Linked DNA regions of Bombyx mori. The protein of the gene in region 1 interacts with the protein of each later gene in a pairwise test. Links are inferred from orthologs where the notes say so. Each region holds a gene or a part of one and is shown on either strand. Other genes may lie near its edges.

Evidence for each region.
Region 2: the proteins of intersectin-1 (region 1) and dynamin interact in a two-hybrid assay, tested with the Caenorhabditis elegans proteins (2 studies listed by BioGRID). The link is inferred for Bombyx mori from reciprocal best matches to the Caenorhabditis elegans genes itsn-1 and dyn-1.
Region 3: the proteins of intersectin-1 (region 1) and tensin-1 interact in a two-hybrid assay, tested with the Caenorhabditis elegans proteins (2 studies listed by BioGRID). The link is inferred for Bombyx mori from reciprocal best matches to the Caenorhabditis elegans genes itsn-1 and tns-1.
Region 4: the proteins of intersectin-1 (region 1) and protein neuralized interact in a two-hybrid assay, tested with the Caenorhabditis elegans proteins (2 studies listed by BioGRID). The link is inferred for Bombyx mori from reciprocal best matches to the Caenorhabditis elegans genes itsn-1 and F10D7.5.
Region 5: the proteins of intersectin-1 (region 1) and synaptojanin-1 interact in a two-hybrid assay, tested with the Caenorhabditis elegans proteins (2 studies listed by BioGRID). The link is inferred for Bombyx mori from reciprocal best matches to the Caenorhabditis elegans genes itsn-1 and unc-26.
Region 6: the proteins of intersectin-1 (region 1) and epidermal growth factor receptor substrate 15-like 1 interact in a two-hybrid assay, tested with the Caenorhabditis elegans proteins (3 studies listed by BioGRID). The link is inferred for Bombyx mori from reciprocal best matches to the Caenorhabditis elegans genes itsn-1 and ehs-1.
Region 7: the proteins of intersectin-1 (region 1) and epidermal growth factor receptor kinase substrate 8-like protein 1 interact in a two-hybrid assay, tested with the Caenorhabditis elegans proteins (2 studies listed by BioGRID). The link is inferred for Bombyx mori from reciprocal best matches to the Caenorhabditis elegans genes itsn-1 and eps-8.

The regions. Positions count from the first base shown.
Region 1 is NC_085117.1:634,050-638,759, reverse strand, and holds the start of intersectin-1, read left to right. Parts: upstream 1-1,387; 5' UTR 1,388-1,522; intron 1,523-2,461; 5' UTR 2,462-2,488; coding exon 2,489-2,611; intron 2,612-3,384; coding exon 3,385-3,483; intron 3,484-4,025; coding exon 4,026-4,104; intron 4,105-4,710. Other genes in the region: MIP18 family protein galla-2, read right to left, coding at 714-990.
Region 2 is NC_085121.1:5,672,652-5,676,899, forward strand, and holds part of dynamin, read left to right. Parts: intron 1-388; coding exon 389-596; intron 597-913; coding exon 914-1,051; intron 1,052-2,491; coding exon 2,492-2,649; intron 2,650-2,784; coding exon 2,785-2,891; intron 2,892-4,147; coding exon 4,148-4,248.
Region 3 is NC_085110.1:9,862,641-9,866,778, forward strand, and holds the end of tensin-1, read left to right. Parts: intron 1-1,440; coding exon 1,441-1,555; intron 1,556-2,249; coding exon 2,250-2,288; 3' UTR 2,289-3,254; downstream 3,255-4,138. UniProt on the Caenorhabditis elegans protein: Probable phosphatase which regulates axon regeneration after injury by linking the svh-2 and integrin signaling pathways.
Region 4 is NC_085130.1:17,968,145-17,972,877, forward strand, and holds the start of protein neuralized, read left to right. Parts: upstream 1-1,467; 5' UTR 1,468-1,636; coding exon 1,637-1,844; intron 1,845-4,733.
Region 5 is NC_085118.1:11,391,098-11,396,021, reverse strand, and holds the start of synaptojanin-1, read left to right. Parts: upstream 1-1,874; 5' UTR 1,875-2,445; coding exon 2,446-4,924. UniProt on the Caenorhabditis elegans protein: Probable inositol 5-phosphatase which regulates synaptic vesicle recycling in neurons by regulating clathrin-mediated endocytosis.
Region 6 is NC_085125.1:116,790-121,037, forward strand, and holds part of epidermal growth factor receptor substrate 15-like 1, read right to left. Parts: intron 2,788-4,248; coding exon 2,585-2,787; intron 2,299-2,584; coding exon 2,013-2,298; intron 1,906-2,012; coding exon 1,618-1,905; intron 1,304-1,617; coding exon 1,136-1,303; intron 1-1,135.
Region 7 is NC_085133.1:7,052,444-7,055,659, forward strand, and holds the end of epidermal growth factor receptor kinase substrate 8-like protein 1, read left to right. Parts: coding exon 1-177; intron 178-1,378; coding exon 1,379-1,494; 3' UTR 1,495-2,238; downstream 2,239-3,216.

The DNA.
Region 1 (4,710 bases):
GGGGAATGAACAAGCTCACAGCTCTCATAGTTTATAGCCATTACAGATGTCCGTGGACATCACATTGGGACAACTGCCACCCATCTTGAGTCCTGAACTCGAAGTTTGAGCAACTCGAAGTTTGAGCCCTATTTTAAAATTACTCTCTCTTAAGCAAAAACAATAATGGTTCAAATTGGGAATAGGCTAGACAGTAGTGACTATTCCGTGGACAAAATATCAGACTAACGCATCCATATTAAAACAGCTCAATATCCAAAGGCTTTCTATCGTCTGCTTCAGGAAGATATTTGAGTTCTTCGATCATATTGGCCGAAAGAGAGGTGACAATTTTGAAATATAACTGGCGAGATCTTTTCAACTGCCTAAGATGAGAGATGAGAGATAAGAGTTTACGGTAACCCATTATCAATCCATTGAAAATGGTCAGCGGTAGACTGCACTTTAGTTGCACCCCTGAAATTGCTACCTTCCATGAGGGACTGTAGCTACTCCCCACCAAGCGGGCTGTATGATCGTCTACCCACGCAATTAAAAAAAGGAAGCTGTTCGTTGGCTGGGCATGAATGTTTATTTGCTTGCCAATAAAAAAACATTAGTATGATAATATTAATTTAGAAATATTGGCTGTTCCACCATTATCGGTGTGCGTTGGTTATGTGTGTGTTACTCTCTCATTAACTATAGGTTTTAATGCTAAAAAAAGTACGTACCTATCAGAGTCGCCATACTGCAATGGGGAATTGTCGGTGTAAAATTGACTAATACAGTACTATCATCGTTATTAACGATTATATTCTTCTCTTCCACCACCCTGAGCTCCTCGAGTGTCAATGGGTGTTCAGGATCATTTATATTTCGTATTAAATCAAATATTTCGCGATCATCAAATTCATCTTGCAAGTCTTCGTCGCGTTCCGAAGAAGTGATCTCCCGTTCTGAACCCTTCTCGTAAATGTGAGGGTTGATGTTATCCGCTGTTTTGGTCATTTTATAAGTTCGAACTTTTTATTATATCAATTCGTTCTACTCAAAATATATTTTTTGGTACAATTTTTCCTTATTATGAAAGGCAAGGGGATCTAAGCCCATACAGCCTTTCTACTCAAAATAATAACTCACTTCTATCTCTATCTCTTTTTTTTAGGAATTTTATGACATGGTAACTAAGATCTTTAAGTCATATCTTATTTTAGTTTATATTCTTAATTTTATGAAAAATGACAGACGCTGCTAATGTAATTCATATCTACTTACACAGAATAATAATGGCCAACATAGACAGTTTCCTTCGTTTTTTATTATTTATAAACGGCAAAATAATTAATAATTGACACTGGCTAATGCACAAACCGAGCGAGCCACAATAAAAAAATTAACTGTCAAAAACCAAATTTCGATTTTGACAGTTGCACCCAATCAAAAAATCAATACTTTATCTAGAACTTTGAGGGGTTTTACTCGATCCTTTTTCAGGAGGATCAGTCTTAAATCTATTCTCTTAGGTCAAACAACAGTTAAAGTAAGTAATACATTATGTAATTCCCTAGAATTTAATTCCTAAATATTTGTTTTAGTTCGCAGACACACCCCCTGCCTGTTGGTACCAAAAGAGTAGTAGTACTTATTATTAATTTATTGAACAACGTTGATTTTAACAAAAAAATGTATTGAATATTAGTGCTTAAGGTATCTTTAAACTTTATCCGGGTCACGGAGTTATAAAACAACGAGCTAGCAATATTAAAAAATTAAGAACATTATCTTGAACTGCTCTACCAATTGTAGTATTCTAATACTTATTGTATGTTGAGTTACTTATTGTATGTGACACACGTCTGTACGTCGAGCAAATATTTTAAATAGAACTTAGGTACATCTTTAATAGATTTAGAGAAGTGATAAAATATAGGAAAAATTTAGAAGTCTACTTTTCACTTGATTAATCAAGGCTTTTTCGTACTTTATCATGACCTACCATATTGGAGACATTCTATTCATACAATTTGGCTAAAGACACCGCTCCTGATTGTCGGGAAAAAGTTAACAAAAACATGTTGCAATGTCTATTGTTTAAAATCAAACAAATTTTTTTAATAGTACAACATAAACCTTAAACCGTGATATGCATTTCTTTTTTTAAATTTGATAAACCAAGATATGCAGAAACATGCTCATAATAAGATATTATCTGATGGTTTATCTAGTTCAATATTATAACTTAATATAGATATATTCACCTGTTCTAATATTAACTTCCCAAAGGAAGCATTGTTTGATTTCCAAAGACAACATTAAATATACAATGCCAAATTAAAATATTCTCAAAATTACTGCATTAATGTCAATCAAAATGTTGAAAATTAAACAATGAAAAAGGATTAGGATTTTTCTATGATTATAAATTTAGGCTTCCTGTAATGAAGACTGCATACATACTAAGAGGTATATCTTTTTTTAGGTTCAAAGAAACGTCTTTAATTCAGAAATGATGGCGGACCCGTGGACTATACAAGCACATGAGCATGCGAAGTTCTCGGAGCACTTTAGAAACCTTGGACCTGTCAATGGAAATTTGACGGGCGAACAAGCTAAAAGATTCATGTTACAGGTCAGTTAATTTGCGTATTTATTATAAATCTAGAACTTTTTTTTTTTATTGTCCTTGTAGGCAGATGGGCATACGGCCCACCTGATGGTGAGTGGTTACCGTCGCCCATGGACTTCAGCAATGCCAGGGGCAGAGCCAAGCCGCTGCCCTACTGCTGCCTAAAGTTAACTCAAATTTGTATGGATATGGAACAGCGCCCCTAGCGACCAACGTAGGCAAACGTTCCAACTCCAAACAATTTTTTTTTTTCATATTTATTTCGTTTCATATAAATTTGAGTTAACTTTTACGCGATCGAGAACGTTAAAACACTCGCACTAAACACACGAGATGGAATAAAGAGTAAATTAGGCTACTTCTATTTTAGAGAAATTCTAAAATTATTTTTACACGCTGGGGTTCGGGATAAATAAAATTTCCACAAATACAACCACAGTACAAATTAAACACCTAAAATACTTCGTAATTCGCTTTTTCCGCTTCGCTTCAGGTGATCCGTTCGCTGTTTCGCTTCGAGTAGTTCCGATTTCTGGCAAGTCGAGTCGTGTGGATATCTGTTTCCGTTATCTGACAATAGATGGCGTTGTACTTCCCGAGCGTTCTCGAGTTTACTAGTTCCTTTGATATTCACTTCTGCCATTCGACAACAGATGGCGTTGCTCTTATCGGCGTAACATTATTATAGAATAAAGTAATATTTTTTTAATTCCACGCAGACGAATTCGCGGGCACAGCTAGTTTAAAATAAGTTTTGTTTGTCTTTCTGTTCACAGTCTCAGCTTCCTCCACCGGTCTTGGGACAAATATGGTCACTGGCGGACACGAACGCCGACGGTAAGCTGGATTTGAAGGAGTTCTCTATAGCTTGCAAGGTGAGTTTCTGTGTAGTCTTCATAATTTGCGAATGTGCCAACGTCCGTATCCGGTTGAAAAATCGCTCATTAAAAATAACGATGTTAGGATATCGATATTTCCAAAAGTGAAACATCGATATAAAAAACATCGGTTCTTATGGACTATATATACATATATTTATTATATAGAAGCTTTTTTTAAATTTTTGCAAATAAAGTAACCTTTTTTTCGATCATAATCGATGTTCTATCGTACACAGACATAGGACGCCACCTTATGTTCTATCCGTGATCTTTTTTTTATTGCTTAGATGAGTGGACAATCTCACAGCCCACCTGGTGTTAAATGGTTACTGGAGCTCATAGGACATCTATAACGTAAATTCCACCACAAACCTTGAGATATGAGTTCTAAGGTCTCAGTATAGTTACAACGGCTGCGCCAACCTTCAATGCGAAACGCATTACTGCTTCACGGCGGAAATAGGTAGGGTGGTGGTGCCTACCCGTGCGGACTCACAAGACATCCTACCACCAGTAAAATTGTGTGTTCATTACAGATTATAAACTTGAAACTGCGCGGCTTAGAGGTGCCGAAGATGCTTCCACCATCTCTGATCGCCTCTTTAAGCCCCACAGGTGAGTCTCAAGTCTCGTTCGCCCGGTGGAATGTGACCGGGATCCCGGTGGGATAATCACGGGTATTTATGTAATGATACGGAATATTCCAGAATTAATGAACAATAAAATACTTAATTACTTTTCCTGTAATAATACTAAGAAATATTAATACGTGAAGCAAAAACTTTACCCCTTTTTTTACGAAAATCACGCGGACGGAGGAGTTTTCAAACTACCCACACTTATAGAGAATAAAGAGAAGGAGTGCAGAATGTTAATATTTTTTTTCTAAATTATGCATAAAAATACACTAAATCAATAAATAAAACATTACACACACTTTGACAATACAACTTTGACAACACATATTATTGTCAAACTTTTGTTTATTGTTTAAAGTCTGTGGTCTAATTGAGAATAGATTAATATTGTTTTTCTTTAATGTTATTTGTCTATAGTGTAGTCTTGGCGAAGTCTGTGATTAGAAGTATAATAAATAGTCTTTGACAATAGAACCGTAGTAATGTTCAAACTTATAATTTTAATCAATTATTGTCGAATTTCGACTACTGCGGGACCACTAGTAAAAGACTAAAGTAACTAAACTAAAGTAAAATTAAAGTA
Region 2 (4,248 bases), on another chromosome or scaffold:
TGATTAGCATTTGTTTAATGCATCAACGAATCGATATTATTTGTTAAAATAGGTCATTTATGGGCAGGATAGGGTAGTTTTCAATCTGTTCATACCTGGTAGAATATAAATGCTTATATTAACCCTTCTTGAAAATAATTACTTTTAAATCATAATTAGTTGGTACATCAACAATAACGCTAAAGACGAACACATCCGGTAGTTGCCGTTGGATTGTGTGTTTTGCATGCAATGTAACAAAATAAAGAAATCAGCTGACACGCGCGGTCATTGACCTCGACGGAACGCTGGTCCGTCCGCAGCTGTTTTCTGTGCGCTTAAAAAAACGACAAGTATTATAATTCTAAATAATGAACAAAGTAGCTGATGTTTATTAATTTATCGACAGAATGATTCAGACTTTGCAAACCGATTTTGAACGCACCATCGAAGGTTCCGGATCGGCGCAGATCAACACCAACGAATTGTCCGGTGGCGCTAAGATCAACAGGCTTTTCCACGAACGTTTTCCTTTTGAAATTGTCAAAATGGAGTTTGACGAAAAGGAACTGCGCCGCGAGATCGCGTTCGCCATTCGAAATATCCACGGTATCCGAGTAAGTCAACTATATTTTTAACCATTTGACTGAACGCACTGAAGCAATTATGAAGCGATTTCTGTTACTAAGGCGCCGAAACATCTAGTATTTTTATGGCAATTATATGTGAATAAGCTTACAACGCTTCTGGTGTTTGGCGATGCCTGGAACTCATAGCCGTCATCCACCTTGAGATGTTAAGTTTATGTATTTATAATTGTCATTCGACACGAAATAGACATCTGTAGAAATTTAATTTGCATAAGTCATATTGAGATAGTTTACAAGGTGGGTTCGTTGAATTTCGCTAAGTATCAACTTAATTGTTTTGATAGGTGGGTTTGTTCACACCGGATATGGCGTTTGAGGCTATCGTGAAAAAGCAGATCGGACGTCTGAAGGAGCCGTGCCTGAAGTGCGTCGATCTGGTTGTGCAGGAGCTGTCCAACGTTGTACGGATTTGCACCGAACGAGTATGTAACATAATTCGATAACGTAATTAAATTTTACAACAGCAATACATTATTATTATTATTTTATTGCTTAGTTTACTTTAGTATTTTTACTGGTGGTAGGACGTCTTGTGGTAGGTACCACCACCCTGTCTATTTCTGCCGTGAAGCAATAATGCGTTTCGGTTTGAAGGGCGGGGCAGACGTTGTAACTATACTGAGACCTTAGAAACTTATATCTCAAGGTGGATGGCGCATTTACGTTTTAGATGTCTATGGGCTTCAGTAACCACTTAATACCAGGTGGGCGGTGAGCTCGTCCACCCATCTAAGCAATAGAAAAAAAATAGTTGGAAATATTTATGAGGTTTTGGCACATGGCAAAGTAGTTACTGGAGTTCATAGACACCGCAGGGTTAATGCTGACAGCCAAGGTTTGTATAAAAAAAAAACTACATCTAAGCTTATTAATATTGTTCTTTAATTGCAGAACACATACATACAACAAATGTATTTAGACGCTAGCCACAACGTAGCATACGGCAGTCCTTAACGTAGAAATGTTTGGTTTTGAAAAACGTGAATACTCTCAGAATTTTAATACGTTTAGTTGAAGATGTTGGTCTTTGTTGTCTGTTTTGATTAGCACGGTGAGGTGACCATAAATTTGGAAAGATATTTTTAGTGAAATCAGCCCGAACCTAGTTATTTTTCTTTTTATCTATCACATCTTCAAAAAAAAATCGGTAGACTATATACGTTCTCATGAATACAGACACGTCATCTCGGATCCTCCCGATCCATTAGCGGTGCTTTTAGGTACCTCAAGCACCGGTCATCGTTCTCGTCGAACCCGTCGCTTGCGACGAAGGGCTCGGCGAGTAAATTAACTCACAGACACAGCCCACTGAGTTTCTCGCCGGATCTTCTCAGTGGGTCGCGTTTTCGATCCAGTGGTAGATTCTGCGAAGCACTGCTCTTGCTAGGGTTCGTGTTAGCAACAACGTCAGGATTGAGCCCCGTGAGCTCACCTACTAGCCCGGTGACGCTGACATACTTCTCTAGGCTAGGCTTCTCTAGACCATCAGATTAGGTAGGAAAAAAAAATGAATACGCCATGACAGGGTAATGAAGCACATGCATCTATTAGTAGACAAGCTGTACCCATCTGCTTCGCTGGGCATTTAAAATTAACATTATTATTTTTCACCCCCACAAAGATTCTCATCATTAACGCCCTCGCAACTGGTGTAGGGAGTTCAACACTCATATAAATATTAGCCCATCCCTTAAAGTACATGTATTTTTTACATGGATACCAATTCTCAAGTCAATCGGATGCATGGTTCAGTAGTTACAACGGAACATCCGTAAAAACCACTGTAGATTTATATATTAGTATAAATACAACAACAACATAATCACACAAAACATTAATCTTATTTGACATACAATTTACAGATGTCTCGTTACCCGCGCCTGCGCGAAGAGACGGAGCGCATCATAATGTCGCACGTGCGCTCGCGGGAGCAGATGTGCAAGGATCAGCTGGTGCTGCTCATCGACTGCGAACTGGCTTATATGAATACCAATCATGAAGATTTCATTGGATTCGCGAAGTTAGTAAAATATATTTATATTTTGAATTAAGAAATGAGAACATCCCTTTTAAAGATAAATGATGTTGAATTGTTGACGGATTTCTCTTCTTCTCGTCTTGTATTTTATATTACATATTTTCTTTTCGGCAACAGCGCACAAAATCAGTCTGAGAACTCTGCGAAGTCAGGACATCGAGCGCTCGGAAATCAGGTGATCCGAAAAGGATACATGTGCATTCACAATCTGGGAATTATGAAGGGTAGGTTTTTTTCTTAAATCGTTATATGCATTAGTTGATATGTCCGATTTCTGCTTTATTATGTAATATAAATTAATTTTAATATTTTCGGCTGTGTGGCATAGAAAATCATGGCAATTGTTCCCACGGGTTTCCTTTAAGGCGACTAAGGCCTAGGCCGCACTACGGTGAAACCGCAGCGGCTATTAACCGTGTGAGTTTACGAAACACGAAAACGAATATAAGCGGCCGCACTTGCGGTTCCTTCCCGCGACTGATTTTAAAACCGCGAAATGTTTCAAAATTGTTGCGGAAAAAAACCGCAACAAAATTTATAATCCATAGAACTAGGTATCCGTGCACGCACTATGCGTAACCGCGGGCGGTTTTTTGAAATGTCAAATACATTTGCGAAATTTTGTTTCCATCAACTGACATCCGATAGTAATTGAAAAAAATCTCTAAGTGTTTTCTTACATTTTGATATTTCTTATGAAAGAAACCTTTCTCAAATCTACGGCTAGTAAGTAGATGGACCCATCGTTTGTGAAATTTTCGTTGTCGTTTTTTCTATTTCTTAGTACCAGAGCAACACTACATACTGGCTCTTTTGAAATTTATCCATCTGCAAACTGTGAAAATCGCGGGCAAATTCGCGGTTAATAATTGTAGTGTGTGAGTCTGAAGCGGTTTCGCGGTTATAGCGGTTAACCGCTCACGGGAAAAAACCGTAGTGCGGCCTAGGCCTAAGGGATTCCCCGTAGAGTGAACAGCAGTGTTCTCTGAGTATTATAAGTATTTTATAAGAGTTTAAATTTCATGCTAGACACGGAGCCTATAGTTAGAGATATGTTGTCAAAGTTTTGTGTGTTACGCTAAGTCTATATTTTATGTCTCTCATACACATAAATAAAAAAATTTAATTGTTATAATGATCTTAGAGATTTATACATAACAAATATATTTTATTTATCTTTACCTAAAAGTATATACATATAAATTTACAGTGGTTTTTACGGATGTTCCGTTATAACCACTGAACCATGCATCCGATTGACTTGAAACTTGGTATCCATGTAGAAATTAAATGCACTTAATGGATAGGCTAATATTTATTATGTGGGGTGAGAAATAATAATGTTAATTTTAAATTAAAAACAGCTAACCTTTACTAGTTATATTGTTTTTTAAATTTTATAAGACACTACACGTTCCTCTCCACTGCCTTATGATTCGATTTTTTTGTAAAGTTTTGAATTTAATTTGAAAATTTATAGGAGGTTCCCGCGACTACTGGTTCGTACTGACTTCTGAGAGCATCTCGTGGTACAAGGATGAAGAGGAGCGGGAGAAGAAGTACATGTTGCCCCTCGACGGG
Region 3 (4,138 bases), on another chromosome or scaffold:
TTCATCAGCCATCAAAGATCTGAATTGCGGTCCATCAAACACTGCTTCTTTAATTTTTGCATCAGATAATCTTGGAATTTTTTTACACAGGTATTCAAAACTAGCATTGTTTTTATCCAATGCTTTAACGAACTCTTTCATCATACCGAGTTTGATATGAAGCGGAGGTAGTAAATTTTTTTCAGGACTAATTATATTTTTCGTATAACGTTTTTTGTTCCTAGTTTGAGATTTTTACGAGGATTCCATCATTTTTGAACGTAGTGCTTGTCTCGTGCTCTACTGTCCCACTCGCACAAGAAGCATGGAAATTTTGTATATAAGTAAAAAAGCTATAAAAAAAATATATATATATATATATAAGTAAAACGTAAGATTTTTTTTAAATAAACACACTAATTTCAGTAAAAAGTTTATAAACAAAGTAACTGTACAGGTTTATTTGCATGTAACCTGTTTCGAATGGGTGTGTCGTTGTTGCAACAAATATATTTCCTCACGAGAGGTCGCACGATTCGAGAAAAGAGCGCCAAAATCTAAAATTTAATTTATTTTAATCAAAAAATTTAAAATAGCTAATGTCTTAACTTTTTTAAAAACCTGATGTGATACGATAAAATGAGGTATAATTTCGTGATCAGCACTACCAAATTAGTGGAAAAAAATAATCAGAACTTGAACAAGGAAAATGATGTCGGCCAGTGATATGTAACTGGTAGAAAATAAAAAATAAATGTTGCAAAGATGATTAATATTAAAAATATCACATATTTTAAACCTTTAAAACACTCTCCTGTAAAATTAATAAGTTTTGAGATTAGATAGTATTAATGCGAGAAGACGATTTATTGTATGGGTCAGAAGGACCATCTCACGTTTTGAGAATAAGAAATGATGTGTGGGAGTCGAACGCGCTTCGACTCAATCCGATATTTTCGCCACTCATTGCCTTGTTACCCGTCAGCGCAAAACGCGCAATTAGGAGATTGACTAGATTGTCAATGTCCACTCACCTCGATTAGTCCTCTCGAGACGCCGGACCGATGGTTGGCACACTGTCCAGACCTCGACTAACATACACCATGTCGGCCATATTGAGTCTGGGCACTCAAACATGATTCAACTTGAGAACGTAACCGATTCAGTCGTTGTCATTAATAACAAAGCATAGAGCACTTTGCGTCTTTGTCATAAAGGCCAAATCGTCGTTGAGGATACCAAAAATATTTAGAAAGCAAACGAGATCGTTCCTCTTGTTCCCAGCTCGACCACAAGGAAATCAGAGTAATCTCACTTTCCAGCGCTTTCTTGTACTGACACTCTTGTTCACGCAGTGCTGGCCTCCTTGCTTTGTACAGCGGAATCATTACACCCAGCTTCGAAAATAGCAGATTTTGGTTTGACAACGACGATAAGCTCCTATCACCCTGTTTGTTTTAGACGGATATTCGCATTCGTCGCTCGGTCCGCATCAGGGCAAGACAACCAGTGCCACGTGTTCGCCGAACTCGAACCTGAGCAGCCGGCTACTGCCATCGTCAACTTTGTTAACAAGGTTTGTTTTAACAATTTTTATACTGGTGGTAGGACCTCTTGAGTCCGCCCGGGTAGGTACCACCGCCCTGCCTATTTCTGCCGTGAAGCAGTAATGCGTTTCGGTTTGAAGGGTGGAGCAGCCGTTGTAACTATACTGAAAACTTAGAACTTATATCTCAAGGTGGGTGGCGCATTTACGTTAAAGAATTCTATGGGCTCCAGTAACCACTTAACACCAGGTGAACTGTGAGCTCGTTCACCCATCTAAGCAACGAAAAAAACTACGTACACAATTAAGACTTGGACCTCGTTTCGAAGCGAGTGATGGCGCGTTCAGTTATAGATTCCGATCATCTCTTAACTAAATCAATATGAACGAATGAGGGGTGAAAGGCAGTTGATTTAAGCGAGATTTCACTTAATACGCGACATTTATCTTTGTAATTAAAGGTGCGTTTTATTTGGTATTACCATCAACAGTTCGATGGTTTTTTTTAATTGAATTTCAGTTAAGCTTATTCTATTCAAGTATCTGAACGACGTTTTTTTGTTTTGATATTTTTTTCAAATTTTATACTTTCAACAGCCATCTTGTAAAGTTGCAAATATGTTGCTTCAACCAAATAGGTATTCATCCCTCGACATTATCGTTGAATGAATGACGTGTGAACTAATATAATAATAATTTTAAATGCAACATTTAATACTTTCAGGCTCTGCTGGGAAATGTTCAGAAGAGGGACATTCTATAATGAACATTTTTCGTTCGAGAGAAAATACAAAAAAGCTACAGTCGTTATTTAAAAAAAAAAAACCTTGTTGTAATCAAACTTAATCTATTATATTTATCTAAGTTCATATAAATTAACTTGTTGTATTTAAGTACATAGTAACGATGTATTTATGCTTTAAACGTTTTTAATGCAACATTTCAAAGATTATCATTTTCAAATACGCTTCGTTTTCACCAAGTACAATTAACGATGTTATGTTTTAATATAATTATAATTAATACTACATCATATTAATATAATCTTAGAATTAGGCGAGCAACTAACTAGTCTCATATTAATTTAATATAGACGTAGTGATATTATATGTGCCTAATAATATATGAATATTGTAATCCAATAAACATGTTAATTGTGCTGTATTAGAGTAAGTAAATATATTGATATAGTTAACTACATTCTTGGAAGATCTGCCAGTGTTGCCTCTAAGTGAAGTGAACTTAGCGATAAATATCATTAGCGCGATACAGAACACTCTAGTAGTTCTCTGTGCAGAGCACAGATGTCGCCACTTGTTTAATGATTATTACCAGTACAACGAACTTTACAATAAATACAATTCATAATAAATTCTGATGTTTATTAATATTGTTGTGAAAGCTGTATGTACAAAAGTAATTACAAAGTACAATTAAGACAAAATTTGAACAGTTTAAAGTTCAAAAAAGCTAACAGAATCAAATAAAGCTTTTGTAATACGTATATCTTTAAAATATATTATATTTGTTTCTAACATTTCAGAAAAAATCGTTTTAAATAAATAGAAATGTTAATTGTTCAGCATGTACTTAGAACATAGATATCACGATTACCTCACCCGATTAGCGAAAGAAATAAATTTTGTACTACGAGTAGTTACATATTATTTAACTGCGTAACTGTTTTAAAATTTATTTATTGTAATATTACATATACATATTAAAACAACCGCTTGTTTTATTGAACTCCCTAATTTTATGAAGTAAGTAAATAGTGTACATTTGATAGGTACCTGACAATCAAAATCATACTTATGAATCAAGCAAAAAGCCTGTCTCACTGTTTAAGATTGCACTTTAGGTGTACTAGGGTATTGTTATAAATGGTTACCATAGATATAATAGTGAAGGCCGCCATGTTGAGTTATAAGATGGAAGTCTAATTTTGTTTTTGTTTTTTTTTATTGCCCTTGGAGGCAGACGAGCATACGGCCCACCTGATGGTGAGTGGTTACCGTTGCCCATGGACTTCAGCAATGCCAGGGGCAGAGCCAAGCCGCTGCCTACCGACCTATTGATTTTAATTAAGACCTATTGTAATCGACCTATATTTTTATCAAACTACCTACCCATTTGACAAAAACACATAATAATATATGAACACAACGCATTGAAGTGTATAATGATACACAATCGCTAATATACGAACCACAATGGTAAATTTACTGGCAAGAGACAAAAATTTTCGGAGGAAGTTTGGAACGAAAAGTTTTTGACTAATTAGAAACGAAATAGAATACGCTAGACTACAAAATTATAATATATATAATAATATATATAATATATATATAAAAAAAATAGAATGACTACAAAATTTCAACTTAATCGGCTAAACGCTACGCAAACCTAAAGAGCACGAACTCACAAAATATGTACTATGCCAAACGATTATTTAAATAGAGGAATCAGGAGAATTACGATTATATTGCAGGAACCACCCCAAGGGTGCTAATCATCTAGAGCACTTTGCATGGATACTATGGAATGCTCGTAGTCTGTGTAATACTATGTTCAGCAGCAGATATTAGTTTACATTTTTCTTCATAATAAAAT
Region 4 (4,733 bases), on another chromosome or scaffold:
ATTTTTATTTGTTTTTTTCCGGAATTAATTTATAGTTTTTTTTTATTATTATTATTACTATTATTACACAATACATTGAGTCACGTGTTAAATTGTTTAACTCATTAAATTAAAGATGATATTCTATGTTTTTAAAAAACAGATTACTTAAGGTCTAGACATTTTTTGAATTGGACTTAAACTACATAGAGTACGTTTGGGGCGGAACAGTGTTACTTTTTTTTTATTTTTTATTTTTCTAATTTTACCGTATACAAGCGATGAAGCGGCTTATGAATAAAATAGAATGGCACTCATTGTTTTTTTACCTATAAACTACGAGTTATTATCAGCTTAACCTTACAGGACAATTAATGTATACAAAATTCGACATTCTCTTTGGGTTTTTTTTAATGAGCGTAAATGAACATGATTTTTTTTTATTGACCTTGCAGAGTAGTTTTTGCAGACGAGCAAATGGCCCACCTGATGGTGAGTGGTTTCCGTCGCTCACGGACATCAGCTTTTTTTTTTCCTACCCAAGCTGAGAGTCTTGAGAGGCTACTTCAGCGGAACCTTAACTAGTAGGTGAGCTCACGGGGCTTAAACCTGACGGCGTTGCTAACACGAACCCTAGCAAGAGTCGCGCTTCGCAGAATCTACCACCGGATCGGAAACGCGACCCACTGAGAAGATCCGGCGAGAAACTCAGTGGGCTGTGTCTGTGGGTTAATTTACTCGTCGAGCCACGGGTTCGACGAAAACGGTGACCGGCGTTTGAGGTACCTAAAAGCACCGTTAGTGGATCGGGAAGATCCGAAATGACGTGTCTGGGGCGACGTCGACTGCTTTCCATTCTTTCCGCAGGATCGGGAATGGGACATCAGCAATAGCACGAGCAAAGCCAAGCCGCTGTCTACCAAAATATAATTCTTATAGTATATTATTATGTAACGGCAGGGCGTTATTTTTCGTTCGTATTTCGAAAACGCGAAGCGTCCAGTGGATTCGTTTGCTTCAAATTCTGCGAATCAAAAATTTAACTAGTGCTGTTTTGAGGTTTTTTTTATTGTTTGGATGGGTGGACGAGCTCACAGCCTAACTGGTGTTAAGTGGTTACTGGACATAGACATCTACGACATAAATGCCCCACCCACCTTGAGATATAAGTTCTAAGGTCTCAATAGTTAATAGTTTCTTTAGTCTTGTATAAAAAAAAAGCATCTCCTAATGATCTCCGGGCCGTTGTTGTTGTTGAATGAAATAAAATTAATTCAATACATGAAGACACTGTCCAAAAGTAATGGCAGTATATTAAAAAAAAAATTAAAAAAAAATATACAGTAGAGTTCACGGCTCACCTGAAGCGTGAAGTGTGGAGCGACTGTAATAACGCAACTGCTCTCTTGCGTCTCGCTTTAATATAGTGCGTGCGAAAGAGACAAACGCTAAGGGCACGTTTTGTATGCGCGCGCAGCTTTCCCGACGTCCCCGCGGCGTCAGTCGAGCGTTACGCTTCGTAGTAGTCAGTTGGTTGTCGTGTCGCGTCGTGAGCGATCGCAGCCGCCGCGTAAATAAATAATAATAATAAAATAATCAAAAGTTAAAAAGTGATGAATTAAACTGTCCCACGTAAATATCAAGTTAAATCGTTTAAATGATGGGCGTTGGTGGTTGTGTTAGCGTTCGGCAGGCCAGAGGTGTGTGCCACTGCCCGGCCTGCCCCAGGTCTTCAGGACAGATGCCCCCTCAGACCTTGGTCCTACCTCCGATGGCCATGACGGAGCCGGAGACTACCCCGGTGAAAGACAAAAAAGGATCGAAAATGAAAGTTTTGAAGAAAATCAAAAAGAAAATAGGCTTAGGTGAGCGATTGTAATATAACTACCCTTTTTTTTTTGTTTTTTCCTACTTATTCTAGTAACTTCTAGGGGCCATGCTAGAGTGGGTGAGCTCACGGGACTCTAACTTGACGACGTTGCTAACACTAGCCCTAGCAAGAGCAGTCGCTAAATCTACTACCGGATCGGAAACGCGACCCACTGAGAAAATCCGACGAGAAACTCAGTGGGCTGTGTCTGTGGGTTAAGTAATTACCCTCTGTTTAATAGAAATATAAAGTGTGATGAAACTACCGATTGATTAGTGGCCGAAATGCGTGGGATGTCTGTCCCGTGCCGTTGAAGTTATTGTGATTCCATCAACTTGGATCATGTGGGCTTCAGAAGCTAATAATCTCTGCTTTGTTCATACAACAAAAGATCACCTTTAAAGATTTATAATGAAAATTTAACGGCCATTAAATTAACAATGCATTAATTTAATTTTAATCACCCACATTAGGGAAATCATTTGATGCAATTATAATTCTTTATGGAGGTATTTTAACGATATGGTCGGTCAGCTTACTAATTGTTTTAACATTTAATAATTGTTCGATTTGGAAGGGGTAGGAAGGAAATAGCTTTTTTCCCGACCTATTTCCTGATAGTCTAAGAAGCTATTCCAGCTACGCCTTGACGGGTAGGTGAGCTCACAATCAAATCAAATAAAAAAAAAATTATTCAACATACATACTTGATAAACGTCAAAAAGAACTACCGCCAATTCACAAAAACTAGCCTCCGTCCTGAGAAGAACTGGCAAGAAACTCAGCGGGCATATTGTCTTTTTTTTAAATATGTATTAGATTTTTTTTTTATATTTTTTTTTACAATGAGTATTATAACATAACAATTATTGCAATATTGAAATGCCCGGAGCGAGCAACTCATTCCCACTTTGTGCAATCTTCTAGATAATCATTGACTTTATAGTAAGCTTTATTGCACAGACGTTCTTTAATAGTTTTCTTAAACCTATGTATATGTAGGTTCTTCACGGGCCCAATCTAAGAGGATTTGCTAACACTGGCCCAAGCGAGGGCAGAGCTTCTCTTAATCTACCACCGGATCGGAATCGCGACCCACGGAGAAGATCTGGCGGGTAATCTAATAGAAGCCAGGGCGTGGTATCCTCGAATACCATCTCGTCTCTCCCCGGGACGTGGTAAAAGACTGTAGGATTCTTTGTCTATTTATTCGTTAGTAGTCTAAGAGGCTATTCCAGCTACGCCCGGTCGGGCTCAACCTGAGAGAAATTAAAGGATTCACCAGAGAATGGACAACAGCAATCTCTTAGTATTGTAACGTAAAACGAACCAAATTTACTGGTGGTAATTGCACTCTCCCACAATAGCGGTAGCTAGTTAACATATTTTAAAGTGTAGCGCACATCTTGAGATGGGAGTCTGACATTCGTGATGATGTCTGTCCGATTTCTAACATTGGCTGAGGTCCATGGGCGACGGTGATCACTCACCATCAGATGGGCCGTATGCTCGTCTGACTGCAAGGGCAATAAAGAAAACGGTCCGGCAACCACTTAACATCAATCGGGCCGCCGGCTAAAATAGTAATATAGTCACAAGTTACCAGGAAACCATGATCTGCGAGGAGATATTAAACAAGATAGTTTCATCTGTCAGTTTAATAATTTTTTCTGCTACGCACCATCCGACTTTGGAATGAGCTCCCCTCCACGGTGTTTCTCGAGCGCCATGACATGTCCTTCTTCAAACGATGCTTGTCGAGAGTACTTAATGGTAGGCAGCAGTTTAGCTCTGCCCCTGACATTGCTGTAGTCCATGGGCGACGGTGACCACTCACCATCAGGTGGGCCGTAAGCTCGTCTGCCTACAAGGACAATAAAAAAAAGTAATTAGGAGTAAAAGTACCAGGATAACATGAGATACGTGGAGGTATGTTATGTATAATTTAGAACAATTTTGTTTTGACAAATTACCGCCAAAATACATTACAATAGGTACCTATTCTGAGGTTGTGAATCCTCAGCTGTCCGTGGACATCACTGACTTAGACTAAGCTTTTTTTTTCTCTCCAACTTTTAAACTTTAAATTGTTCTTCTGTAAAGTTACAAAAATGTCGCTTAATACACAAATGGCCTTTCTTTCACCCCTCGATATATGTGTGTGTACATATATGGTATTATAAGGGATACGTTCCGTACGTGACAAAATAAAAACATACTTTAGTCGTAGTTGTAGTAAGGTCAATTTTCTTTAACAATAGTAGAAGTTGGACCATTTTTTTAATATTATTAGAAGTTGGAATTCTACCGTGAAGCAGTAATGCGTTTCGGTTTGAAGGCTGGGGCAGCCGTTGTAACTATACTTAGACCTTAGAACTTATATATCAAGGTGGGTGGCGCGTTTACGTTGTAGATGTCTATGGTCTCCAGTAACAATTTAACACCAGGTAGGCTGTGTGCTTAGTGCGAGTTTCTGGACAGAATGGAAAGCAGTCTACGTCGCCCAAAACACGGCATCTCGGATCCTCCCGATCCACTAACGGTGCTTCTAGATACTTCCAGCACCGGTCACCGTTCTCGTCGAACCCGTCGCTTGCGACGAAGGGCTCGACGAGTAAATTAACTCTCGGACACAGCCCACTGAGTTTCTCGCCGGATCTTCTCAGTAGGTCGCGATTCCGATCCGGTGGTAGTTTCTGCGAAGCACGACTTACTAGGGTTCGTGTTAGCATCGTCGTCAGGTTTGAGCCCCGTGAGCTCACCTACTAGTTACGGTTATGCTGGAATAGCCGTTCCAGGCTACCAGCTTAGGTAGAAAAAAAAAAGCGAGTTTTTAACGTTCTCGATAACGTAAAAGTTAACTCATAATTGTATGCAGTTGAAA
Region 5 (4,924 bases), on another chromosome or scaffold:
CACGTAACTACAAAAATGTTTCTTTCCCTTAAAATTGTTCTTAATATTCTTACTTTCGTACTTCTTTTGTTCGGTGGTCGGTATTTGCACATTGAATTTAAAAAGGCAATGAAAAATATCCTCAATAAAATTATATTTACACTACTTTCATGGTACGTATTTTCCCTCCTGGCTGAGCCCTTGCTCCTGCACCTGTTTTTGGGAAACTGGAACCAAGGCCACCGGTAATCCCTCAATCAATAAAAAAGGTACGTATTTTGTATTAGACACATTTTTTCCGTTCTTCTAAATTATTCCAACAGCATAAAACGAATAAAAGTCATTGACATGTCACCAAAGTATTGATTTATTATTTTGACCTTGTTTACGATTCAAAATTGGCGTATTTAATTTTGTAAGTAAATACGCCTTAAAAGACTAAAACTGGCCGCATAAATACGCTTAACCTAATGATATTATTTAAGTGCATTATTTTTGTACGAGTAATTAATGACGCACTATAAAATCACTAGAATGTAGGCAATGAAATAAATTAAAAAAATCTTTAGAAATTCATTTTGGTATCTATAATCCATTTTGTTAAATTGTGTTTAAAATCTTTAATTAGGTAGGTACCAGATGGTGGGTGTCACTGAATAGTAGATACGTAGTAATCAGAGCGTGGTTTTAAGCGATATAGGTAGGTACTTAAAAAATTCGATCATCGACTTTTTGGCGGGAACGCGAGGAGCGAAGTTGTTGAATTAATTTATTTTATCTATTTAGTGTTTCTTTAGATTTAAATGAGTAATTACGGTGGTTTATTTACTGTTTAGTATCTGTGAAAGTGCAAAAATGTGGTAAAATTAAACAAAGCAGTTGGACGTAGCTTCTCGGGATTCTCCAAAAAGTCTCAGTAAATTACCACCATTTTATTGAGATTATATTTCATCCCATATCTCATCTCATTTCATGCCATGTTTCATTTTAATAAATTTCATTTCACTTCCTAATGCCGTATCGTCTCATTGCTTCGACGATGTGGTGTTGTGTTCCAATCGTTACATAAATCAACATTAAATTATTAGAAGAAAAAAAACGCGGGAAACATTGGAATTTGGCGGACGCTGTTTTTGTGCTGAATTTGCTTTTCCTTCGTTTTTTATTATTCATAAACTTTACAGCTTAAAGGTTTTAATTAAAACGGGCGAATTATAAAAATCTTATTACTTGACGCTGGCTAACGCACAAACTGTACCAGAGCCAAAAAATAAAGAAGAAGATGAAGAAGTCGATCATCGAAAAGCAGACAAGTAATGTATTATACCTGGGTAGTCTTTGAATGAAAGTAGGTACCGTACTAATAGTATCTATTGAAAAGTAACCTCATACCAAAAAGAGTTTCAAATTTAATTTAGATAGAGTAAACGTTAAGTTGATTTCCGCCTGTTACATAACACTTGTCTTTAAATAAAGTGAGTGTACCAATCGTTAGTGTAATACTTTTATTGTTGGGTAGGTCTCGTTAACGTACTAACCGCAACGTTAACGGCGAAAATGCAAATCAAAACAGTGTTGTCATGAAATTAATGTTCGTTATTATAAGTCGTGCTAAGAGGATGGTAATAATGCATAGATAGATGTAAACATTTCATATATATGAAGCTTAATATTCCAGAAAACAATGGGTATGGGAATAAGAATATTATATAAATTTTTAAATATACCATGCTAGAAATTCATTTTTGTAACAGTTGTGTATTTTCAATGATATTTTTTCAATTATAAAATGACATCCATTTTTAATCTTATTTTCTTGTAACATGTGGTCCAAGACTCAATTGTACCGTAAATCAATATAGAACGGATTGCTGGTGTGCTGCCATAGTAATAGAGTAATAGATAAAGGTCGATGGGTTTTAACTCAGCAAGCTCAAAAATGTCCCAACACCAGTAGGTAATTACGCAATTCACAAGTTTAACGGATTTGATTTTTATTTTCCAATGCAATTCTTTTCTCGTTGAAATCGTTATGGAACTCGACTTAGATATTTTCTAATAACTGATAAATAACTAACTAACCCGCAAGACTCAGGCGTGTTTTGAACTCCTGCTTAGTCGCAGCACTCGATACAAATAAAGCGTCTTACCATTGTTTTAAAGCTATGTACGTTTACAATAAGAAAGCTTCCTGATTTCCTGATTTAAAAAGCTATTCCAAAAAGCATACGTAAAACTTGAAAAGTGTTAAGCGCTTGTCAATTTTAAGCCGTTTGTCACACCACTAGTAGCATAGATTAAATTGGATAAGCACTATTCACTATTCTATGGGTGGATTGATTTGATTGAATTCATTCTGTCCACCAAGTCGAAGATTGGTCTCGGTTATTCTCATATAAATTTATAATTGTTATTTGACTTATCTTAAAAGCTAATGGCGTGATAATCGCCAAATAGAAACTAAACATGGCTATGTCCAAAGGCTTTAAAGTTCTGGAGAAATCATCGCCCCCCAGTCCGTATAGCATAATATTACAACACAGAAACAAAGACACTGCACTTCTTTTCGAATCTCAAGCCGTTGTTTCCTTATCATCGCAAGAAACAGAAACTTTAAGGAAACAATACCATAAAGTTGCAGACGCTTATGGATGTCTTGGAGTACTTCAGCTAAATTCTGGTGAAAGCTGTCTTCTGTATCTTGTGTTAATCACCGGATGCTCTTCTGTTGGTAAAGTGGGGGATTTAGAAGTATTTAAGATAACGCAAACTCAATTTCTGCCACTGTTCTACCAATCGCAAGGTGATGATAAGGTTTCGGAAGTCCGAAAATTAATTAATTCAGGTACATTTTATTTCTCTTGGTATTCTGGCAAAAACAATGATAATCTTTTTGATTTGACTCTGTGTGCCCAAAGAAAAAGTAAAGGAGCCAACCCTGATAATAGGTTCTTTTGGAATAGAACACTGTACATACATCTAATCAGATATGGCATAGATTGTGATGAGTGGCTAACTCGAGCAATGTGTGGATCTGTAGAAATACGCACTATTTATGTTGGGCATCGTCAAGCTAGGGCTGTACTTGTCTCAAGACTTAGTTGTGAAAGGGCTGGAACTAGATTTAATGTGCGAGGTTGTAATGATGATGGAAATGTGGCAAACTTTGTAGAAACTGAACAAGCTGTTTACATTGATGATTCTGTAGCATCTTATATACAAACAAGAGGGTCTGTGCCATTGTTTTGGGAACAACCTGGAATACAAGTTGGCTCACACAAAGTAAAAATGTCAAGAGGCTATGATGCATCAACAAGTGCTTGTGAGAGACATTTTGCCCAGTTAAAGCGTAATTATGGATCTGTAATAGTTGTAAATCTGCTTGGATCTAACATGATTGGGGGTAGTGAAGGTGAGGCAACATTAAGTAATGCTTTCCAGAAACACATTAATGAATCTCCACATTCTGATGTCCTACAAATTGTTTTTGACTATCATCAGGAAGTAAGAGCAACATCCCAAGAGATAGCTCTATCAAAATTTAAACAGAATATTGAGAAATATTATGATGAGATTGGGATTTTTAGTGCAAAAGGGTCAGACATTTATAATATTCAAAAGGGAGTTATAAGGACCAATTGCTTGGATTGCTTAGATAGAACAAATTCTATTCAGACATTTATTGGTTTAGAAATGCTTGCTGTTCAATTAATGCTACTACAATGTCTTGATAAAAAACAAAATGTTAATAGATTTGAAGAAGTTTACAAACAGATGTGGGTGAATAATGGAAATGAAATATCTAAAATTTATGCTGGAACTGGTGCAATTCAAGGAGGCTCCAAACTAATTGATGGAGCTCGATCTGCTGCCAGGACTATCCAGAACAATTTATTAGACAACTCAAAGCAAGAAGCAATTGATATTTTATTACTTGGTTCAACATTAAACTCTGAACTGGCAGACCGCACAAGAATACTGTTGCCATCTAACATACTACACACTTCTACAGCTATCTTGAGGGAAATGTGTCGTAGAACGAATGAATTCACTCAACCTTCAACTCTTAGAATAACTATTGGCACATACAATGTGAATGGTGGTAAACATTTCAGAAGTCTTGCTTATAAGGATGTTTCATTATCTGACTGGTTATTAGATTGTCCAAATTCATCTTTGGTAAATACAGTCAATCTGAAGGATCATCCTTCTGACATATTTGCAATAGGCTTTGAAGAAATAGTTGATTTAAATGCTAGTAATATTATGGCAGCTAGTACTGATAATGCAAAAGCATGGAGTGAGGAACTGGAAAAAGTGTTAGGCAGAGATGCATCTTATACACTTCTGTCTAGTCATCAACTTGTTGGAGTATGTTTATTCATATTTGTTAGAAAAGATTTAATACCGCATATCAGAGATGTAGCACTTGATTCAGTTAAGACTGGACTTGGAGGGGCTACTGGGAATAAAGGTGCTGTGGGAATAAGAATGGTAATTTATGGAACCTCACTATGTTTTGTTTGTGCACATTTTGCTGCTGGTCAATCACAAGTTACAGAGCGTAATGCTGATTACACAGAAATTACTAGAAAAATTGCATTTCCCATGGGTCGCTCTCTGTACTCCCATGACTATGTATTTTGGTGTGGTGATTTTAATTATCGTATAGATTTAGATAAAGATGAAGTACGCCTTTTGGCTTCACAAAATAATTTGCAAAGGCTTTTGGAGCAAGATCAACTTTTACAGCAAAAGTCACAAGATTTAGTTTTCAAAAACTGCTTTGAAGGAGAAATTACATTTCCTCCAACTTATAAATATGATCTATTTAGTGATGATTATGATACCAGTGAAAAATGCAGAGCACCAGCATGGACTGACCGTGTATTGTGGAGAAGCAGAAAATATACTATTGATCCTGAAACCACATCAGAATTATCAG
Region 6 (4,248 bases), on another chromosome or scaffold:
CTGTACGTACCAGCGCGTGCAGCGGCTGCAGCGCTGAGTGCGCGTGCTGCAGGCTCCGGGCGGCGGCTGTACGTACCAGCGCGTGCAGCGGCTGCAGCGCTGAGTGCGCGTGCTGCAGGCTCCGGGCGGCGGCTGTACGTACCAGCGCGTGCAGCGGCTGCAGCGCTGAGTGCGCGTGCTGCAGGCTCCGGGCGGCGGCTGTACGTACCAGCGCGTGCAGCGGCTGCAGCGCTGAGTGCGCGTGCTGCAGGCTCCGGGCGGCGGCTGTACGTACCAGCGCGTGCAGCGGCTGCAGCGCTGAGTGCGCGTGCTGCAGGCTCCGGGCGGCGGCTGTACGTACCAGCGCGTGCAGCGGCTGCAGCGCTGAGTGCGCGTGCTGCAGGCTCCGGGCGGCGGCTGTACGTACCAGCGCGTGCAGCGGCTGCAGCGCTGAGTGCGCGTGCTGCAGGCTCCGGGCGGCGGCTGTACGTACCAGCGCGTGCAGCGGCTGCAGCGCTGAGTGCGCGTGCTGCAGGCTCCGGGCGGCGGCTGTACGTACCAGCGCGTGCAGCGGCTGCAGCGCTGAGTGCGCGTGCTGCAGGCTCCGGGCGGCGGCTGTACGTACCAGCGCGTGCAGCGGCTGCAGCGCTGAGTGCGCGTGCTGCAGGCTCCGGGCGGCGGCTGTACGTACCAGCGCGTGCAGCGGCTGCAGCGCTGAGTGCGCGTGCTGCAGGCTCCGGGCGGCGGCTGTACGTACCAGCGCGTGCAGCGGCTGCAGCGCTGAGTGCGCGTGCTGCAGGCTCCGGGCGGCGGCTGTACGTACCAGCGAGTGCAGCGGCTGCAGCGCTGAGTGCGCGTGCTGCAGGCTCCGGGCGGCGGCTGTACGTACCAGCGCGTGCAGCGGCTGCAGCGCTGAGTGCGCGTGCTGCAGGCTCCGGGCGGCGGCTGTACGTACCAGCGCGTCGTTGGGCGTGGCTCCGCGCACGAGGCGCTCCAGGTGCGCGGGCGCGTGCAGCGGCTGCAGCGCTGAGTGCGCGTGCTGCAGCGCTGAGTGCGCGTGCTGCAGGCTCCGGGCGGCGGCTGTACGTACCAGCGCGTGCAGCGGCTGCAGCGCTGAGTGCGCGTGCTGCAGGCTCCGGGCGGCGGCTGTACGTACCAGCGCGTCGTTGGGCGTGGCTCCGCGCACGAGGCGCTCCAGGTGCGCGGGCGCGTGCAGCGGCTGCAGCGCTAACTGCACGTGCGACGCCGCGCCCCGCTCCAGCGCGTCGCAGGCTTCCTCCAGCGCGCGGTAGTGTTCCTCCAGGTGAGAGATCTTGATCTTGGCCTGCACAGAGGAGAGCGGGTCACTCGGCCGCTATTGACAATTTGTTTACTTGTGGGCGAGCGCTGTGGGTGTGCGTTCACACTTTGTATTCGCAGAAATACATGCTCCCATTATTATCAATTAAAACGAAAATATCTTTAAATAAAGTTCTCATTCACGGGCGCGTCTAATGCTTCATGACTTTACCACTGATTCGTGCTGCGGCAAGGGCATTGGGAGGAATCTGCGCGACTTTCTCCGAAAGGACTGACTAATAACAAAGGTGTCTCGTGCCAGAAGAATGCGTATTTGTTAGTGGCGTGAAGGGGCCGCACCTGGCTGAGCGCCAGCACGGCTTGCGGCAGCGCGGCGAGCGCGAGGGTGGCGCGCTCCTGCATGAGGGCGAGGTCATCGGTGAGGGCGCGGTGGCGCGCGGCCAGCGAGAGCGCGGCGGCCCTGCGCGCGCCCACCTCCGCCTCCGTCTCGGCGGCCGCGGCCTCCTGCGCGGCGGCCTGCCCGCGGAGCCGCTCCACCTGCGCCTTCAGGTCCTGCAGCCGCTTCTGCGCCTCGCCCTTCTGGTTCTCTAGTTGCTTTAGCGTCGCCGTCAGCGTCTCCAGCTCGCTCTGCAACAGAAGCGCGGGCTACAGCGCGGCGCGGCGGGGCGCGGCGGGGCGGGGCGCGGCGGGGCGGGGCGGGGCGGGGCGGGTGGCGCGGCGTGCGCGTGGCTGACCTGCAGCGCCTGCGTCTCGGCGTGCGCGGCGGACAGCGCGCGCTGCTTGTCGCCCAGGTCCTGCTCCAGCGCGCGCCGCTCGCGTCCCAGCGCCTCCACCTCGCGCGCCAGTGCCTCGAGCTCTGGCGTGGGCTGCGCGGCGGGGGCGGGCGCGGGGGGCTGCAGGGCGCGCGGCGGGAGGGCGCGGGGCGGGGAGAGTCCGCGCTGGGCGCGCTGCAGGAGGCGCACGCTGGCGGCGAACTGCACGCGGGACAGCTTGCCGGCGCCGTCCGCGTCGCACAGCGCCCTGCAGGCGACGCTCGCACTTAACATTTACACGAACAAACGGATGCGTTCACTCAGTTTGTAAATATTACTTGCTTCACAGCATTACTCAGCATATAGCTTTGCTATTATTTTAGTTTGTCTAAAGGTTTCACTTGTTTTTGTTTTAATTGGCTATCTGTTTCCTGTCTGATATTCTATTAAGATAATCTAAATTGTTGGTTTCTTTGAAATAAAAAAATTAAAAATTAAGTAATTAGTCGAGGCGGCGGTGCGCATGTAGGGACAGTACAATACAGGTTGCTGACCATATGCGCGCGAGAGTGTGCTGCGGCAGGCCCGAGGTGAGGAACACGTGCTTGATCTCGTCCCCGGACACGAACCCGTCCCGGTCGCGGTCGGCGGCGGCGAACTGCGGCTCCAGCGCCGCCAGCTCCGCCTCGCTCACGGGCTCCCAGCGCTCGTCCGCCGCGCCGCCCCCCGCGCCGCCCGCCAGGACTTGTGCGGCATCCTGGACACGAGGATTATGCCAAATTAAATTAATGAACAAAGGACAATGCCCAAAAGTGGGTCAACTTTATGTCAAAACTATTTGTACTTGAAAAACTATGCCTTATTTTTTCACGTTGTTTAGTTTATGTATCAACATTTCTTTCAACCTGGCATTGTTTTCCAAAAAAATAAATTACTTATTTGATAACATCCCAAAACTGAGTGCCATAGTTTTTAAATTCGCCAATAGGCAAAGGGCTTAGCCCATACAGCCTTATAGCAAACCTATATGCTATCAAACGAAAGAGTTGTTTGTGACATGAACAACAAATTAAAACAAAATAGCTAATGCTTATAATTCACAGGCTTCTTAGTTTATTTTTGTTCAATTCAATATTTATATATTGTAATAATAATTATTACTTAAAACCATGAGTTATTTTATTTAATATTTTTAGATATTAATGATTCCATTAGTAAAAATATCAATGGCCTACCATTACTCTATTCTTATTATATATGATCAGAGAGTTTTGGCAGCAACCCGGGTGAAACGTCGCGTCACTTGAATTTTTATTTTAATGTTTTTTTAATAGTTTATTGTGTAATTTGTATTATTGTATTTGTAATATTGTGTATAAAAGGTCTGCGTAGTGCTCATGCTCAGCCTCAGTCAATGTGGTATTCGTCGAGTTGAACTCAAAACTCCCAAAAAGCAATAAAAAGAGATACACCGGCTTTTTATTGACATAAAAAATATATAACTTCGACAGACTAGGCTGTATAGGCTACACTCTTTGCCTGCTTATTGGTGAATTTAAAAACAACAACAACAATATCGTTGCCGGCTTCCGGATTTTCATTTCATTTTATTATTATTATGAGGATATAATAATAATAAAATGTACGTAAGGGCTTATTTCTAGCAACATTAAGCACAATTAACTTATTTAATACTGTAAATAATTATGAGAGCGATTATTGATTTCGAAGAAAACAATTAACAACTTAATTTTAGCTGCAGAAAAAAACAGATTTCTCTTAAACCTGGGTGACAATATAAAAATAGTTTTATGAATATGAAACGATATTTTTTTGTCTATCAAAATAAGTTAAAACCATCATGACAGGACAACTTTTTTTAGGGGCCCAAACGCCCATAGAAAATGGGCATTGTCCTTTTGTGTATTTATTTCTGGATTAGCTATTACCCGCAGCTTCACCCGCGGTTAAGGAAAAGTCTCAGTGTAGTTTTCCGTGGGATTGAGAAGTTTTCTCGGGATAAGGGTAGCCCTAACATAATACTGTCACTTCAAAAAATCATGTCGATCCGCTGTTCGTTTGGACGCAAGAAAAGGAGAAACAAACACACTTTCACATTTAAAAAAATTAGTATGGATATTATTGTTGTACGCGTTTCATTGTGTTTTTCATGAAAGTGTTGTCAAACGATGATTTTTTATATTTAAGTTTCTTTAAG
Region 7 (3,216 bases), on another chromosome or scaffold:
GGCTCGAAGCAAAGGGTTTCAGCAATGCCGCCCAACGCCAGCTGAGGATGTCGGGACACCAGCTATTCGCGCTGTCCAGATCTCAGCTGGAGAGGGCACTGGGCCAGGATGAGGGGAAACGACTGTACAGCCAAATTTTGGTCCAGAGGAACGTGTCTGGGGTGAGTGGAGTCCACGGTGAGGCTGTCATAGCTTTAGATATTAAGCCTCTGACGATTTGCACTGCATCATCTCACATCCATTTGCCTTAACCAGATAATCTCGCGTCAGAGTTTGGAGGATGAGATCCAAAAACATAAAATAGCATAATGATAAAATCTTGAAACTCTTTAAATCTAAATATGTTAATACGTGAACGTGAACTTTGTACCCCTTTTTACGAAGATTGCGCGGAAGGAGGATTATGAAATTTCCCACACTTATAGAGAATATAGAGGAGTGCAACATGCTAATTTTTTTTTTTAATTTTAAACAAAAAATACATTAAATCAATAAATAAAACATTACACACACTACCATGTATTTGACCCACACATGCATTTTACTCTTTTGTTTATTGTTAAAGTATTTTTTTAAGGGATTTTATGACCTGGTAACTAAGAACTTTAGGTCTAGCGTTATTTTAATTTTAATAAAAACTTCTTTACATGAAAAATGATATTATATGAAATGAAATGAGGCTGATTAATATGAAACATGGCATGAAATGAAATGAAATGAAAACGAAATTAAATTAAATGAGATGAAATGAAATGAGTTGAGATGAGATGTGATGATATTGGATGAAATATAATATCAGTAAAATGGTGGTCATTTACTGAGATTTTTTCAGTGGACTTTTTGGAGTATCCCCAGTAGCTACGTTCAGCGGCTTTGTTTCATTTTCCCACATTTGTGCACTTTCACAGATACTAATCAGTTAATAAACCAGCGTTATTACATATTTAAACCTGAAGAAACACTAAATAGACAAAATAAAACAAATCATACAACTTCATTCCTCGCGTTCCCGCCAAAAAGTCTTGTTAAAGTCTGTGGTCTAATTGAGAATTTATTAATATTGTTTGTCTTTATATTATTAGTCTATAGCGTAACCTTGGCGAAACCTTTAATTGTAGAAGTATAGTTTTTGATAATAAACCATAGTAATTTTCTAATTTATAATTTAAATTAATTATGGTCGAATTTTGACCACTAGTCCAATAGTTATGATAATGTTACAATTTGGATCGTTCTAATTATATTTCCTAAATTTGTTAATTTATGTTCATGCACCATAGAATTGAATTTCCAATTATTTTTTTAGACAGTATTCATATACCTACTTGTATGAAATATAATATGTTTGATAATGATGATAATGATGTATTTGTTCCAGTACAAGACGACCTCGGCATCAGAGCTTCAGAGCATCCTGAGGAAAGTACGAGAGAAAGTCGAAGTCTCATGATGGAGTACCTCCCAGGAATCGACGAAGATGCATCCTATTGTTAATGTTTAATTTTAAAACGTAGATTACATTAAGAGTGCCTATCCAACGGAGTGGAGCTAGCCAGTGTAGCGGAGAAACACCCTTAATTTGACATTTAAGAGATGAAAATGTTTGACTGAAATTGTTTTTTTCAGTACATTCTGCGATTATACATATATGACTATAATTACTTTAAGCTGAATGTCATTAAAATTAGTAGTAAATATTACTACTGCATTTTATTTTTACTATTATTACTAGTATAGGTAGTATATTTATTAGTATTAACAATAGTATGTAATTTTCTCACAATTGTTATAGTACGTTAAACATAGCACGATATTGGGGACAGTTGTCATAAATTCCGTTTGAAAAACTATATTCTAGGACGTACGAAAAGAAATAAAATTAGTTTTATTCACCTAAGCCTATTCTTCAACAACTGTCCCGCAATCAAGCTACATTTAAAACACTATTTATTTATAATGTTACGATGACTCTTTGCTCTTCTACCAGACTAAGAATAATCGAAATATAAACGATACTACAAGAGATCGTTCAATTAAAATTAAAACTAACATTATTTTTATACTTTTATTATTTGTTTAAGTAATTTATATTATCTAAATAATATATATTGTGTTTAATAACATTAAAGTGGAAGTAAAAGTGACAAGATGTAACAACAACACTCAATTTCAAACAACTTTTGATATTTGTTGTATTCGTCCATAAACTATAAGTACTAATAAATTATTACGTTTTAATGTCTATTTTACTTGAGCAAAACTTATTTTACTTACTTGAGTTACTCGAGTGAGACTTTAAATTAATTTCTACGTGTTTCTTTTATTATTCCAATATGAACTGTATTCGATTACTTAGCGCAATTCAATAACCATTACTTTAAAAAAAAAGTTTAGAAAATATTAACAAATTTTATAAATACCTTGAAATATATTTTAAATATTCACTGCAGTTATTTTTTAGTAATTAATTGAAAATGTTATCGCTTTTTAAGGCGTTGACATCAACAGTGGCAGAAAGAAGGTGGAGCCGATGCCTAAAAAAAAATTTTCCTGTGACATGAACCTCTTTCATCCATTTATCAACGTCACCCCTTCACAAATGTTCATTATTTATTAAAATAAACATTTTTTACTTGTTTCTGCGACCTGAGTATCATATTATACACCGCATTGATAAATGAACCTTAAAAATGCTCAAGTCATGACTACTTACCTTCTTTGAGTTGAAATTATAAAAGGTCATAAAAATTTGAATAGTACACAGAGTAGGAATATAAAGATATAGGCTAAGCTATTTGTTTAAATAAAACATATAATGACGTTATTTAAGTACAAACAAAGGTTTAACGTATTTGATTTAATAAATAAATGGTAATTAATCTTGCGTTTGTTTGGAAAACTCACAGGGCTCAGTCTGAGAGAACTTAATAACACTAGCCCTAGCAAGAGGACGACCGCCCGTCCGGCGTCCCGAGGGGGAGGGTGATGGGAGAGATGTGCTCCGCACTAAACGCTTCACTTTCCCTTCACACTCCCCCCTTTGTCTTTTCATGACTTCTGTGTCATGCGAGGTTTGGACGTGGGTTATTGAGTGACAGGAGGTTTAGTCAGTTCGACTCCGGCATGCCCCGCCCTCCGTCCTCAGTGGAGGGCGGAAGTCCGGAGTTTTCCTACTGACAAAAAAAAGACCTAGCAAGAGAAGTGCTTTGCTGAATC